Linked DNA regions of Callithrix jacchus. The protein of the gene in region 1 purifies or fractionates together with the protein of each later gene. This does not show direct contact. Links are inferred from orthologs where the notes say so. Each region holds a gene or a part of one and is shown in the gene's direction. Other genes may lie near its edges.

Region 1 (4,186 bases):
TTCAAGACCAGCCTGGGCAACACATCAAGACCCCCATCTCTACTAAAAATTTTAAAATTAGCCAGGCATGGTGGTGCTTGCCTGTAGTCCCCACTAGGGGCAAGGCTGAGATAGGAGGCTGTCTTGAGCCCAAGTTTAGTGAGCAATGATCGCAACACTGCACTCCAGTCTGGGCAACGGAGAGAAACAATGTCTCTAAAACAAACATAAAGACTTAGAACGAGGAACAAACATGACTGAAAATATACCACCTGGACTGAAGTGGTGGTTGCACCTAGAGGTAATGAGAAAGGTTAGTTGGATGAGTTAGGGTCAGAGTATGCAAGGCTTTAGAAATAGGTAACAGGAGAGAAACTATTGAAAGTTTCTGAACGAACTTGTGATGATGAAATCAGAATTCCAGGGGAGAAAAAGGAGCATAGTAGTGGCATTCATGATGGATTTGGAAAAGAAAAATACTAAAGGTGAATGGAAAGGGTGGACCAGGGGCAACTAGTTATTAAAACAGTCCTATCATGAAGTGTTGAAATGTTGGATGTAAACACATCTACCACAGTATCAGCACAGACTAAGGGCTTGGGTAAATGTTAGTCAAATGCAAATACAAAAACTTTTCTTGGTTCATGAAATTTTCAGAATTGGCTCAAAGAATCTGTAATGCACTGAGAATTTACTATTTGCTTCAAAATATTTCATTTACTTAAGATTTTATAAGAATCACCTGCTTATAAAATTGTTACTTTGTGGTACACCCAAAGCACCTTGTTTTCTCCCTCACCCAGATATGTTTCATGCTCTTTGTACTTTTCACCCTTAAACAGATTTGGAGGGAAGATTCAAGAGGTGGGTTTTTAAATTTAAAGCAACGCTGTCACAAATTGAGAACTGACAACATGTCATTACACACTTAATTGCCACCGAATCTCAGAGTTTAAAAATTGAAAGCACCTAAGTGATAGGACCTCTCGTTGTACAGATGCGAAAACTGAGGCCGAGAGAGGGTAAATGAACAGTCCCGGGTCAAAGAGCTAATGATCAAGGTGGGACTAGAATCGACTACTTGACTCCTCTGCGTGGAGCCAAGGATCCGAAGCGGTTAGGATAAGGGAAACCCAAGGGAGAGAACAGAGTCAGGAAAGCAGCTCTTTCCAACCCTAGGAGGCCGCGGAAGGTGCAGAGCCAAGCCAAACTCAAAAGCCGCCAAGTCCAAGTACCCTTACCCTGATGGCGGCTACGAAACCACCGGCCAACCTCCCGATCTCGCGATACTGACAGGCGCTCACTTCTCCGGCTTCCGGCGGGCCCCGCCTCTCCACCGCAGCCTTTCTGTCGTCATTTCCTGTGGGTCTGTAGGCTAAGGGAGAAGATGGCGGCGCTAGGGGAACCCGTGCGGCTGGAGAGGGGTGAGTGCAGCCGAAGCTCGGCGGAGGTGGGCGGAAGGGTTGAAGGAGTCCTAGGTCGCTGGAGGGGTGGAGGGGTGACCCAGGCTTTGAGATCCGGAGCCAGGCTGTCCCTTGCGCTGGCGCTAGAGGCCGCCGATGTCTCTGTGCCTGGCTGTAGGAAGGACGCTTACGGTCTTTCAGCTGATACTCAAAGCCCTCTTCTGTTAACACGGGCTGTCCCGGGGCACAGCACAACTAAATATAACCTGCTAGCTTCGCAGACACACGCCGCACACGCGCTCCCTTGGTGGGTACAGCATAAGCAGCATTCGGAGACCCGTTTACCCGAAAAGCAAACGTCACACACCCAGTTCGTACAGACTACGTTCATTGCCTGTACAACACGAAGACGGACACACGGTCCAATTCAACAGAACCTCCCTTCCCCCTTGTTTACACGCAAACTTCTTCATTACTTTTCCCACAACCCCACTTGTATTTGGGTTGGGGTATTTGCTAGCTTTTGTGCCCCTCCCAGAAATGGAGAGGTTGCTTTAAAAACAATCCTACTGACTTGGTCTTGGGAAAAAGGTTACATAAGTAAGCAGAATAGTGGTAGATGCTAAAACACTTGCAGGTGTAAGGTTTTCAATTTCTTACAAACCCACAGTTGCAAAACTGGTTGGTTGATTCTTCCCTAGAGCAGACTGTCAAGGAAAATAAAACCTCCTCTGCTGAGTAATTAGAGATAGAGAAGACTGAAAATAGCTGGCTATGCGCCTACCAGATTTCCAGCATTCCAGCGTTTCCAGTCCTGTTACGGATTTCCAGCCTTCCACTCTGTCCCTAAATCCTTTATTTCAAACAATTTTAAGCATGCTTTTCATACACCATCATTAGAAGTCATTGATAGGAGTTAAGAAGCATGAGTAAATATTTTGAGTTCTGGTGGTAAAAAAAAGAAAGTGTAGAATAGAGACTAAAATTATATTGCACATATTAACATTTGCAGTTACAGTCTGAGTATTACTATTGTTCCCTAAGAAAACACATTTTTAGAATTACTGTACTTAGAAAAACCTCTTTCCTAATGCCTCCCCACAAACAAAGGTGCACTTAGTATCGCTGATTTGTTCTTTATAGTGTTCACCATTTGGAAGCCTCCTAGTAAATGAGATTCTTTCCCTTAAGCCTATTAAAACGTCATTTTAGACAGGACTAGCTACTCTGGGAACACTTGCCGAGTTAGGCCTAAGACTGACATCTTTCTCTTGAGCACAATGGCATTGTGTTTCCTAGATGGGAGCAAATCTGTTTGGTGTTAACAGAAGTAGGAGTTTTTCTTTGAAAAGCTAGTTGTAAGATTCTAACATATTGGTGGTCTTACTCCCAGAGGCAGAGTGTCGCCCTGTCGAAGAGACTGGAATGCAGTGGCGCAATCTCACTCGCTACTGCCTTCACCTCCCGGGTTCAAGCAATTCGGCCTCAGCCTCCCGAGTAGCTGGGACTACAGGCACACTCTGCCACGCTTGGCTATTTTTTGTATTTTAGTAGAGACGGGGTTTCACCATGTTGCCCAGGCTGGTCTCGAACTCCTGAGCTCAGGCTATCCACCTGCCTTGGCCTCCCAAAGTGCTAGGACTACAGGCATGAGCCACCGCACCCAGCCGGTTTTCTGTGTTGTTAAATGCAGCACAAAATGTGTAACTCCTGTGGCAATTAGTTTTGATAGTCATGGCTTTGCTTTGTGCTGTTACAGGCTTGTTTTCCTTTTCCATTCTTCAGTAAAGTCTCAGCCCCTTAGAGGGATGAATAACAGTCAACCCTCCATATCCATGGGTTCCACGTACATGAATTCAACCAACTACAGTTTGAAAATACTTAGAGAAAAAAATCCTGTCTATAGAATGTGTACATTTTTATCTTGTCCTTATTACCTAAACAATGTGGTAATATGGTATGGCCTGGAGCGGTGGCTCACACCTATAATCCCAGCTCTTTGGGAGGCTGAGGTAGGTGGATCATGAGGTCAATGGATCACGAGGTCAGGTGTTCAAGACCAGCCTGGTCAAGATGGTGAAACCCCTTATCAACTAAAAATACAAAAACTAGCCAGGTATGGTAGCAGTCACCTGTAGTCTCAGCTTCTTGGGAGGCTGAGGTTGCAGTAAGTAAATATCTTGCCACTGCACTCCAGCCTGGGCAACAAAGCAAGACTCCATCTCAAAATGACAACAACGACAAAAATAATGTGATATAACTATTAACATAGCATCAGATATTGTAAGTAATCTAGAGATGATTTAAAGTATGGAGCAGGAATATGCATAGGTTATATGCAAATACTACATTTTATATCAGAGACTTGAGCATCTGCAGACTTTGATATCTGTGATATCCGAAGAAGGTCCTAACAAACCCTCCACGGTTATCGAGACAGCTGTACTAGTAGTTGCCATTTAGCAGGGGAAAAAGATTACATCAGCTCTGATTCTTTCTTAGAATTCTAACAGACTCTATTAGCAAACACTCCCAACAGTTCTACAGTAGAAAATCCTATAGTACAGTTACAGTTCAGTACCTGATCACATATGATGATTTAGAATCCCTTCTAAATCATCAAAATATTATTTTAATGAAACACAAATTTGAGCACGTATTAGGTACAGTTTAGATTTAGTCAAAAGCATTTTACGTTTTTCCGTTTTTTTGTTAATTGGAAATTTTTATATGGCTTAACATATTATAACTTTATAAATAAAAATGATTGATGAACCAACAGTCTTTATTTATCAGTCATTCTG
Region 2 (3,565 bases), on another chromosome or scaffold:
TGCCTTCTGTTTTAGGAGTGAGCGAGCCCGCTGGATAACTGCCCTGGGACACAGCAGCGGAAAGCCGCCAGCAGACCGAACCTGTAAGTGCTCTCAAGGGGAAGCCCACTTGGGAACATGGATGGGCTCTGCCCCCTGCTGGACGCCGGGTTACTAATGCATTTACACCACCACAGTCCTTGCCTAAGTTTCCTCCAAGGTTTCCTTCCTTCTGCTTTACACCAGAAGGGTATGATACTTGCTGTGGAAGTCAAGGGGTCTGAATTGAAATCCAAGGTGCACTTCTTTGTTGTGGAAACATGGCAAATCGTTGCTTAGCATTACAGAGCTATTTAACCATCTGCAAGTCAGTTACACCATTATACACAACATGGGGTTGTTGTGAAGATAAGTTAAATAATCTATTTTAAAAGCCCTATATGAACTATAGAGCTTTTACATTTTTAGCTGTTATCAGTGAGCAATTTAGTTAATAATGTTTAAGCCTTCTCCATACTGAGAATCTGAAAAGTATTTTTAATCTTAAAGAAAATTAACAATCATTTTTGACCTTCTAAGAAAGTGTGTTTCATTATTCTAGAGAATTAAAAACTGGTGCAGTAAAGGGTGGTGGTGTGTGCTTATTAGCTTCCTAACATTGATGCTGGGATTCCTTAGGTTATTACAATTGGAAGGTTAAATCCAAAGAATTAGGACAAAACATTCTCTCGGAATCCTCAAAAATTACAGCTTTAAGCTTAGATTAAAAGCCAGAATGGTCCGAAAGTTTCCTAAAATCAAGCTTTATATTAAAAGCAAATTAAGTAAGAAGTCACATGTCAGCATTTCTGAGGAGGTCTAATATGTCTTTTAAGCTTTTGGTTGGAACTCCATTTTTTTTTTTTGGTGGTTTTTTGAGATGGAGTCTCACTCTGTCTCCAGGCTGGAGTACAGTGGTGCAATCTCAGCCCAGTGCAACGTCCACATCCCAGGTTCAAGTGATTCTCTTGCCTTAGCCTCCTGAGTAGCTGGGAATACAGGTGTGTACCAACACACCCAGCTAATTTTTGTATTTTGTTTTATTTTTTTGAGCTCCCACTGTATGGGAGGGGATTCCAGAAAGTTGGAAATCCCGTATTTTGTTTTTAGTAGAGACAGGGTTTCACCATGTTGGCCAGGATGGTCCCAATCCCTTGACCTCGTGATCTGCTCGCCTCAGCCTCCCAAAGTGCTAGGATTACAGGCGTGAGCCACCGTGCACAGCCAGAACTCCTTTTATTTCTAAACTTTTTTGGAAGCTTTCCTGTGCTGCTGCTGGGATGGGAAAACACTCTGATGAGATCCAGGAGAACTATGTCTATTGTATATTTTGCATGGACTCAGCACATCAGCACCTCTCTCATGCCTCAGTTTTCTTAAGGCAAAAATGGCTGTTTTCTGCTCCATTGTGTGACATGACTAATGACTCCTGATCAACCTGTTATTGAGGGGATTCTTGCATCATAAAAGGCCTCTAATCTGAGGTTCTAAAATTCTAAAGCATATAGCCAAGTAAAGGAATTGCTAGAAAAGATGTTCTGCTTATTGTTAGAAGCCCAACTTGTTTCCCTCAGTGCTGGCCCTGAGTTACAGAGAAAAACGAGTAAATGTACACTGTTGGATTGCACGTGTTTTTTTCTCTGCTACTGGAAACTTAGTATGTCCTCTTTGCCGCAGCACTGACCCAGGTGGAAATCGTTAGGTCATTTACTTCCAAGCAGCCAGATGAACTCTCCCTGCAGGTGGCAGACGTTGTCCTCATCTATCAACGTGTCAGCGATGGTGAGTGGGAGCGTTCTTATGGGACACTGGTGGTCCAGGATTCAGAGTTCTACAGACCAGAGGAGTCTCATTTTGTCATCATTGCCTGTATTCCAAATCTTGATACGTGAATGAGATTACATACATGTACTGCATTCTTATCACTAAGGCTAATTTTGTTGCTTCTCTGTTCTTACTCCTTTCCTCTTCCCCAAGACTTTATTCCCCAAATCAGTGGTTTACCAAAGACCTAAAGATGACTTGGAGAGGTGTTTTGGGGACTTTGAAACATTTGCCTCTTCTCTTTTTGGGCTTTCCCTCCAGCTTTCTCATGTTCACCTGCCTCTCATCTATCTACACTTTATGATTCATCTAATTTGGCTTTGAATATAGATGCAGTCATCTGATTTGTTATTCAAAAGGAAACCATGAAGTTTTCTTTGTTCCCCAGTCCCACAGTGACCTAGTTCTCATCTCCAAAGATTCATCCTTTCAAAAAAATCATTTTTCCTGCTATCCTTACCCAAAGCATCTCCTTTGCCAGCTCAGCCCAGGTTCAGATACTCAGCCTTTTCACTTCAGAGCCTCTGTTCAGGCTCTTTCCCTGGAATGTCATTCATTCCCCCTTGAAACCTTTCCCTGTTTCATTCTCCTTACCTTTCATCATCCATGGCACCTAGCCTGGAGAGCGATACTGTGTCTCAGCTTTTTCATATTCTTCTTGAAGCCTGGCACACCACAAATACTTGTTTGATGTGGACTCTGTTCTTTTTCACAGGCTGGTATGAGGGGGAACGACTGCGAGATGGAGAAAGAGGCTGGTTTCCTATGGAATGTGCCAAGGAGATAACATGTCAAGCTATAATTGACAAGAATGTAGAGAGAATGGGACGCTTGCTAGGACTGGAGACCAACGTGTAGTCTCTCAGATGGTCTTTCGTTACTGCAAGATTTGCACGACACATAGTGGGCTGGTTGGTTTTGGGCTAGTTTTATTGTTAATTTTATCACAGCCTATTTAATTAAAAGAATGAAAACACTTGCCTTTAAGCTTGCCAGGTTGTTCTGCTCTCTTGTGAGAAGAACAGTGGATACAGTTAGTTTGCACAGCTCAGTTTTTACCTAACCACATCTTTGAAGACCTTCTTAGAGGCTGAGCAGAATAGCTGAGCAGTCCACTTCAGGGATCAGTCATCTCTGCTCCTCCTAATTTCACCATGTTCTGGCATTAAAAAACACATATCATATCCTGGTTTTCTCTATCATGCTTTACTAAGGTTACTGTTTGTCTTTAAACACCCTTGTATGGTTTTCCCAGCATTAGCAAGATTTTATATCTGTCAGGAATGTCCAGTTTTGTAAATATTTCCCTGTCTCTCTTTTTTTAAAAATCTGATTCTAATGTTTTGTTGACTTCAGAAGGAACTGGTAGAGTTCAGAAGGCGAGCTGTTATGTTTTTCTAAACCTATTCCCAGGAAAGGGACATTGACACTTGAATTTTTGTCACCTTTTTCCTCATTAGAAGGAAAGTAGAGAGCCTTACTTTAAGGATTTAAAAAAAAAAATCCATCTCACCCCACATTGGTTTTAGATAAGTATAGACTAATTAACCTAAACTACCTTTAACAACATAGAATTTAGATGGTTTCACATGTGAGAAAACCATGAATTTAGGACAGGGGTCCTACTCCCGATGCCCCTGCCCCATGTCACCCAGGCTGGAGTGTGGTGGTGTGATCTCGGTTCACTGGGATCAAGTGATTCTCCTGCCTCAGCCTCCCAAGT
Region 3 (4,334 bases), on another chromosome or scaffold:
GGCGGAGGTTGCAGTGAGCTGAGGTCCTGCTAATGCATTCCAGCCTGGGTGACAAGAGTAAAACTCCGTCTCAAACAAAAACAAACGAACAAACAAAATAACTTAGAAAACAAAGTAAGTCACACACACTAACCATTTTTTCTTTTGGGGTATGGCTAATGGTTTCTAGGAATCCTGGAGACAGACTTTATCCGGATTTCAGTTGGGCATTTCACCAGTTCTCACTGCATCTTTGTGGAGGAATACGGGCCAAGAAGACATTTTGGTTGTGCTGTCCATCTGTACTCAAAGCCTTCGGAGAAATTTTTGAAGGCAGGAGTATTAAAGTCTTTAGAGGCATGTAGCAGAGCTCTGTCCTCGGCTCTGTGTTACTAAACACTTGGACAGAATGCTGATCAGATTTGAGAAAGATAACAAATCTGGGAAGGGTAGGCATCCCGAAGATCTTCACCACCAGGAGCAATGGTTTGCTTCGTTCAGGGCATCACTGTGTCCCTAAGGAGGTACACTAACAACCCATAGGCTGTCCAGAAGAGCGTAATGGGGAAGAATGTGAAAGAACTTGAAAGTCAGGATCTGGGGAGATTGCAAAATGGAAAAATACGGTGGGGCAAAATGAAGAAAATCGTGAGAAATAGCATATCCGCAGGCTTTGAGGGAGGACTGTGCCCCTGGGGGAAATTGTGGCCCTGGGCTGGAGTCATAGGCAGATTTTGGCCTCATAGAAGGAGAGGTCGATTAACAAACCCTGCACGTGTTCGAAGGTGGGATGGGGTTCCTCGGAAGGTACTGTCAAGGCAGAGACCAACCGATGGCTTTACTGGAAGTGTCAAGACACATTTGCTGGCATTTCTCCTTAGAACGTACTCCAATCTGTTCTGACTTCCTCCCGAACCCGCCTGAGTCCTGCCCATTTCAAGGGTGGCACATCCAGGTCCCGAGGGCGCCAGCCGTGCCTGGGGCATGGGCTGGCCTGCGTAACTCTCTGTCCCTTCAGGAGACCTCTGGGAAATAGCTCTAGCCCTTGCCATCCTTGCTTTCTGGTTTTCAGAAGTCAGCGCAGCTGCTGGCTTTCTGGAGTCTTCTGCGGGACAGTGCACACATCCAGGTGTTTACGTCATTTTTTTTTTTTAAACAAATGTTAGATTGTGTGACTAACTTGACAGAACACGAGGAATACCTTCAAGAATCATATTTTCGTCAGAAACCGTCATCCAGAAACAGAAGAGCCAAGGGCTGTAAAGCCCCAGGGAAGCCTTAGCGTCTACACCACAGAACCCGCCCGCTAAACCCCGGAGGGGCTCCTCAGGGCCAGTCAGCCCCCAGCTGTTCGCGTTTTAGACTTGGAGGCGCGCCAGTGCGCGCACCCGGCGGGAACTGAGGAGACGACCAATGAACGGGCGCTCTCTCCGCACCGGCTAGGGATTGGGCGAGCCGCTACAGCCTCTCATGGGAGGGGTGGGACTGGGACCCGTGTGCCCGCTGAGCCAGAGTCCCGGGGGCGCGTGCGCGGTCTCGCGGCGGCCGCAGGGGCCGGTCTCGCGCGGTCTAGAGGTGGAGTTGCTGGCGGCTGCGGCGGCGGCGGCGGCGGCGACGGCGGAGGCTGGCTGTGGGGCGGGGTCTAAGGATTCTGAGGTGAGGAGTCCGGAGTTTCTGGATTCTTTATCCGGTATTTTAAGGGCCGCCGGAGGGCTGTCGCTTCGGCAGTGCTTCGGAGCGGCCGGGGCGGGAGGCTAGCGGAGCCGGGGCGCGGAGGTAAGAGGCGGATTGGTGGCGGCTGGGCTGTGGAGATCTTAATCAACAGGTCTCCGGCAGCGCGGCGGGGGAGGGGCGGTCGGACTCCCCCTCCCCCACACGCCGTGCAAACTCCGGCGGGCTGGGGACCCCCGGCCGCCAGGCGGTCTTCCTCAGGCGCGGGAGCCGTGGCCGTGGAGGGTGTGAACCCACCCTTTGTCCCTCGGAGTAACGCTGCCGGCGCGGTGCCCGCTCCTTCTCCTTGGCCGGTCATGCACCTTGGCGCGGGCCACAGCCTGCCCGGCCGGAGGTGCGTGGGGCGCCGCGGGCAGTGGTCTTCCCCCTGCGCCCCCGCCCGGAGGTCGCGACGAGCTGGATTCTCCCGGCCGGGTGGGGGAGATCGCCTAGGGAACGCTTTCCTTTGGAAGTCGGAAAGTAGTCAGCGTCCCTCTGCCTGACTCAGCTGCTGGTATTCTGCTACTCATTGCGTTCTTAAACACGCAAACAGTTCCTGCTTCCTTGTGACCACTTTTAAATAAAAGCCTAATTTTGTTAATGGTTTCTGATAATATAAGTTTGCACATTGAACTTTGAAGCCTGTAAATTGTAATCTACGTTTATTGAAGGTTGGATTAAACGATCTTTGTAGTAAATAATATAACTTTCTAAAGATAATAACTCACCTGTTTACTTGATTGATATACAGTAATGTGTTTGGAATGTAGGTTTCGGTCGAAAGGTTTTTCTTGACAGTTTATGCTAAAATTAAAATCTGATGGCTAGGAAGTTTTTAGATGTGGTATGTAGTGTGTGTTTTGTCTCCATACTCGTTTACAATAGTAAGAATTTAGATTTGGAAAGTCAGTTGAACAAAAATTTTGAAATTTTGATTTGACTGACACAGTGAAAGGTGTTAATATTTCTGATTTTAAAAATATGTTTTAATGATGGTTTACTAATTATGCTTTTGGATTATACAGGAGGTTAATTACCTGTTAAATTCTGCAATAGGAACAAATGACGTGTTGGTTATTGGTGTCTTTGAAGTATTGGTGGTCATGAAAGTTACTAAATAAGCTTTCTTGAATTATGAACTACCAATTTTTTTTTTACTAGGTCCCCGTGGACATAGTGTATTGTGGATAGGTTTTGTAGGCTTTCTATTTGCAGCAGGATGAGCTATTAAATTATAATGTAAGAGATTTATAGATGAAACAGGCAAAAATAGGAAAAGCAATTCATTATTTTATCTTTAAAAATCTAGTAAATTTGGCCGGGTGCGGTGTCTGACGCCTATAATCCCAGCCCTTTGGGAGGCCGATGCGGGTGAATTATTTGAGGTCCAGTGTTCGAGACCAGCCTGGTCAACAGGGCAAAACCCCATCTCTACTAAAAATACAAAAAATTAGCCGGGTGTGGTGGTATAGGCCTGTAATTTCAGCTACTCGAGTGGCTGAGGCAGGAGAATTGCTTGAACCCAGGAGATGGAGGTTGCAGTGAGCTGAGATCACCCCACTGCACTCCAGTCTGTGCAACAGAGAGAGACTGTCTCAAAAAAAAAAAAAAATCGGCAGGGCACGGTGGCTCAAGCCTGTAATCCCAGCACTTTGGGAGGCCAAGGCAGGTGGATCATGAGATCGAGACCATCCTGGTCAAAATGGTGAAACCCCGTGTCTACTAAAGATACAAAAAATTAGCTGGGCATGGTGGCGTGTGCCTGTAGTCCCAGCTACTCGGGAGGCTGAGGCAGGAGAATTGCCTGAACCCAGGAGGTGGAGGTTGCGGTAAGCCGAGATCGCGCTCTTGCACTCCAGCCTGGGTAACAAGAGCGAAACTCCCGTCTCAAAAAAAAAAAAAAACGAGTAAACTTTAGCAGGTATCTGAATGATTTTTGGCTAGACAGACTTGAACTTGACAAGTAAAGGTGGATTAACATTAATTTGTTTTAGAATGTTAAAGCAGACAATATGTAAGTTCTACCTCAGGGTGACCCAAGTCAGTACAGTGGGTTTAGTTTTTACATGATCTAGAATTATAATCTTGATTAAAAATCTCAATTCAGGGGCACATGTTCTCAGGATCTCCTGAGGGCTATGTCATGAAAAAATTTAAATAAAATTTTATCAGACATTCCAAGAAATTTGATTAATTTTATGTAATACTGAGATTCCCTGTTTCTCTGATATTTTCTGATTTCAGGGTGTCTAGAAAAGATAGTATCTTGACATATGTGCTTTAGAATATAATTTTCTTTTCTTTTTGTGAGACAGAGTCTTGCTCTGTCGGCCAGGCTGGAGTGAAGTGGTGTGATCTGGGCTCACTGCAGTCTTCACTTCCTGGGTTAAAGCGATTCTTCTACCTCAGCCTCCTGAGTAGCTGTTCACCACACCCTGCTAATTTTCATATTTTTATTGGAGACAGGGTTTGGCCATGTTGGCCAGGCTAGCCTCGAACTCCTGACCTCAGGTGATCCACCTACCTTGACCTCCCAAAGTTCTGGGATTACAGGCACAAGCCATTGCTAGAATATAATTTTTTATCATATTCTTACTGAATCATAGGATCGTTGAGTTGGAAGTAATCTTAGTGGTTATATAGTC
Region 4 (3,565 bases), on another chromosome or scaffold:
GTATGATCTCAGAAAAATTGACTTTCATTTTCAGAAACAGGAGTGGAGCTGGACTATAAATAACATCGTCTATTTATTTTTAATTACAAAGACCTCCCTTCATTAAAATGAGGATCTATTTCCTTAAATATAGTTTGTCCCCTTTGCTAGTTACTGCTGTTTCAAAGACTGAATTAGATAGTGCCAACAATATTTTCCCTTTGAGTTGTATATCTACATTTAGACTAATTCAGGATCATTTTGCCTTTGTTATATTCTACTCGCTATTTATAGTAGAGACTTGTTCATAAACTGTGTTGTACAAAAATAAGGCACTGTCCTTAATTACAGGTGTTTTCCCTTGCTAATACATATTTATTTGAAAAAATTAAACCTTTCAAAGAAAAGAAAAAATGCTTTTAAATTAAAAAATTATTTTGTTATATATGGCTTATACCTCAACATTTTATGTCACCCTCTTTTATTTTGATTATTTGCTTTTATCAGCTTTTTAAACTCATGACACTGTGTTTTCTTTATTTGTCTTCCATTGTCCTGCAATTTCAGAGCATGTAACTTCTAATGCCAGCGATAGTGAAAGTAGTTACCGTAAGTGTCTTAAGTTACTTGTTCTTTTATAATTTCAAGTAGTAAATCCTCAGCAGGGGTGGAGGGATTCTTAGTAATATGTTCTAAAACCCTAAAGTTAATATGATTGATATTAAAATCAGGAAGAGCCAAGTAAAATTTTGTGCTTGAAAAAAATCATAATATGTAGAGGTTAATTTATAAAATTTTAATAAAATACTAAAAATAGTATTATTTGTGTACATAGTACATATATGTGTGTATATATATTTTTTATAAAAAGTAAATACTTATATGGGGGAAAACTTATATTTTGACATTTTGTTGAATTCTGTTTTTAACATGAGTGCTAAAATAATATTTTTCAGTAATGCTAAATTATAATTAGCTTTATTTCTGTTTTCATTATTTTACCAATACTGTTCTGGATCAAGTCATTGTTTATCACCAGCACTTGGTGAACAGAAGAAATAAGGAAGGAAACATTTTCAATGATTGCTCAGAAAATAATGCTAATTTCTCTTTTGATGTTTTATATTACATTCTTGGTTTTATTAAGTGAACTACACAAGCATGTGATGTTTTTAAACAGATTTGGGTGTGGGAGAAGGGGAAAGTATATAATGTTATCATTTGTAGCACCTTAAAAATTAAAATTGCTTTTCTAACTTTTTTTTTTTTTACTGCTGTCTAAAATGAAAGTAATCTTGATTACAGATGAGTACGGCTGCCCAAAAGGTCCATCCTGTTAATATCAGTCCCTAATACTTTTTCATGTTGACAGTATATACTTTTAACCATCACTCATTTGGTTGATTATTTTTCTACATAATAGTTACTTAATTTTTTTTTGGTGTGGAAATGATTTCTTGTATTTCAGCATTTTATTGCTTATAACCAGAATCCACTATAGAGTAGTGGAGTGGCTTTCTAGGCTAAAAAGAGGTAATGAAAGTATATACTGTCTGTCTCACCATTTGCATGAATTATTAAGGAGTGGAATATTCCAATTGCATGTGTTTGCTAGTATGTAAGCCATGTTTTACATCCAATAATTTAAAAAAGTTTATATTGGTTTTATATACTTCGATAATAAAATTAAAAACAAAGAAATACACACTTAAAGCAGAAAAGAATGTTTATGTCAATATATGGATTTAAAAGACTGCAGCTACATACATATAATATAAAACAATTGCAAAATTCATGGTAAAATTAATATAGGATCTTGATAATTAAAGAAAAAGTCTTCAAATACATTATCCAGTATTGATTGTTTTCATTGAACCACTTGGGTTAACACAGTCTTTTCTAATTTTGGGTGTGGGGGCAAGGGGGATATGTATTAGTTAAAAACTGCTAGAGTTTTTAATTTTGTAGTTATTTTCATTGGATTCAGATATAATTTGTAGACTCTTTAATTTAGAATATATCCTAAGCTCTAAATCTTTAATTTGGAAGCTTTAACTTCTTGTATGCTTTTAAGTTCAAAGCAGAATATATTTATCTCCTTTACTATCATGTGGTTTTTTTATTGGAAGGATTTAGTTTTGTCTAAAGCTCTTTTTGATTCACATTAAATTTCTTATTTTTTACAAAGTTTAATTTGTGAATTTTTTCATCAGTGAAATAGTGACAATAGTTTTACCTTTGTGTTTATAATTTTAAATTTTAAGGTAGTTGTAATTTTTTTAAATATACTGTTTTCAGTATTATAGTTGGTGAAAAAAGTAGCATATTTTTAATAGTAACAATTACCTAAGATGTATATATATATATATAGATAGAACTGTTCATTAAAGCATTAATCTTTAACAGAGTTAATAATTCTTAAATTCTAAATAAAGAAGTAGCACGTAGTATCACAAATGAAGATTTTAGATTTGATGATTATTTATTGATTTAAAAGCTCATTTATATTTTGTTTTACATTTAGCAAACTCACTTTTATGACTTTATGATTTGCCACTTTTATTTATTTTTTTTTACTAAATCTTGCCACAAAGTACCTCTTTCCATATCTTTGCCATTTTCTTAGGAAAGTTATAGTAATGTATATGTTGTTTATGAAGAATTAGACTAGCATCAGTTATCTTTATGTATTTTTCATCTGTGCCTTCACTTTCTAATAGGTGGTCAAGAAGAGTACGTCTTATCTTATGAACCAGTGAATCAGCAAGAAGGTTTGTGAAGCCTATTCATATTTTATAATCTTCTAGAATAATATATTTTTAATTTGGGGGAAAAAAGTCTAATACCCCCCAAAAATGTTATATGTAGAAATTTACTACATGTATTTTATGAAACATAGTTTATTCCATAGTATATTAGAATCTAGTCATTTCATATTGACTTTTATATTTGTGTTTTATTTCCTAAGCAATTTTTTTCAAGTGTTCTTGTTAACATCGCTATCTTCCAAATAACCCTTTTTTGAAAATCTTGGGAGCATCTTTGACCCTTCTCTGTTCCTCATGCTCCTCAGCTAATCAGGTTCCAGGCACTATTGTACTTCTTTCTTATTTATGACCTGCTCTTCGTCCCTTCTACCACAATGTTAGTTCTCGGCCTCACTCCCCATCTCCATTCTTCCAGCACGATCTTATGCAACCTAGAGTTTACACTTCTTTAGATCATCTTTCTAAAACACTACTGTGATTATATCACTTCCTACATCTAATTTCTCTTCTGCCCTTCTTTGCTCTGCTTCCTTACAATTTCTACTTCAAAACTGTCTGTAAAACACTATATGTTATTCTGTCATTTGCAATGTAAATAAACATAATCTGCTAAACTACCAAATTTAACTTTGAATTATCAAGTGTATGACTTCTAGCAGGAGACTGAGTAAACTTTAAGATCTTAGTCAAGATTATAAAACAGCAAATTAGGCATCTTTGGTTGACGGAAAAGGAAGATGGAGGAGGAAGAAAAAAATTCTTTGTAACAGTTACGGATATTTTTGTTCTCTGGTGAAATAAAATATATCAATATTTGT

Evidence for each region.
Region 2: the proteins of LIN7C (region 1) and ARHGEF26 purify together in Homo sapiens (affinity purification with mass spectrometry; 3 studies listed by BioGRID and IntAct, counting the BioPlex papers as one, with this or other methods). This does not show direct contact. The link is inferred for Callithrix jacchus from reciprocal best matches to the Homo sapiens genes LIN7C and ARHGEF26.
Region 3: the proteins of LIN7C (region 1) and PALS1 purify together in Homo sapiens (affinity purification with mass spectrometry; 3 studies listed by BioGRID and IntAct, counting the BioPlex papers as one, with this or other methods). This does not show direct contact. The link is inferred for Callithrix jacchus from reciprocal best matches to the Homo sapiens genes LIN7C and PALS1.
Region 4: the proteins of LIN7C (region 1) and DLG1 purify together in Homo sapiens (affinity purification with mass spectrometry; 4 studies listed by BioGRID and IntAct, counting the BioPlex papers as one, with this or other methods). This does not show direct contact. The link is inferred for Callithrix jacchus from reciprocal best matches to the Homo sapiens genes LIN7C and DLG1.

What each region holds. Positions count from the first base shown.
Region 1 is NC_133511.1:92,876,889-92,881,074, reverse strand, and holds the start of LIN7C (protein lin-7 homolog C), read left to right. Parts: upstream 1-1,351; 5' UTR 1,352-1,366; coding exon 1,367-1,403; intron 1,404-4,186. UniProt on the Homo sapiens protein: Plays a role in establishing and maintaining the asymmetric distribution of channels and receptors at the plasma membrane of polarized cells.
Region 2 is NC_133518.1:31,170,984-31,174,548, reverse strand, and holds part of ARHGEF26 (rho guanine nucleotide exchange factor 26), read left to right. Parts: intron 1-15; coding exon 16-83; intron 84-1,695; coding exon 1,696-1,800; intron 1,801-2,557; coding exon 2,558-2,700; 3' UTR 2,701-3,565. UniProt on the Homo sapiens protein: Activates RhoG GTPase by promoting the exchange of GDP by GTP. Required for the formation of membrane ruffles during macropinocytosis. Required for the formation of cup-like structures during trans-endothelial migration of leukocytes.
Region 3 is NC_133509.1:102,220,998-102,225,331, forward strand, and holds the start of PALS1 (protein PALS1), read left to right. Parts: upstream 1-1,497; 5' UTR 1,498-1,635; exon of another isoform or gene 1,636-1,755; intron 1,756-4,334. UniProt on the Homo sapiens protein: Plays a role in tight junction biogenesis and in the establishment of cell polarity in epithelial cells.
Region 4 is NC_133516.1:25,083,298-25,086,862, forward strand, and holds part of DLG1 (disks large homolog 1), read left to right. Parts: intron 1-546; coding exon 547-588; intron 589-1,269; coding exon 1,270-1,305; intron 1,306-2,699; coding exon 2,700-2,750; intron 2,751-3,565. UniProt on the Homo sapiens protein: Essential multidomain scaffolding protein required for normal development. Recruits channels, receptors and signaling molecules to discrete plasma membrane domains in polarized cells.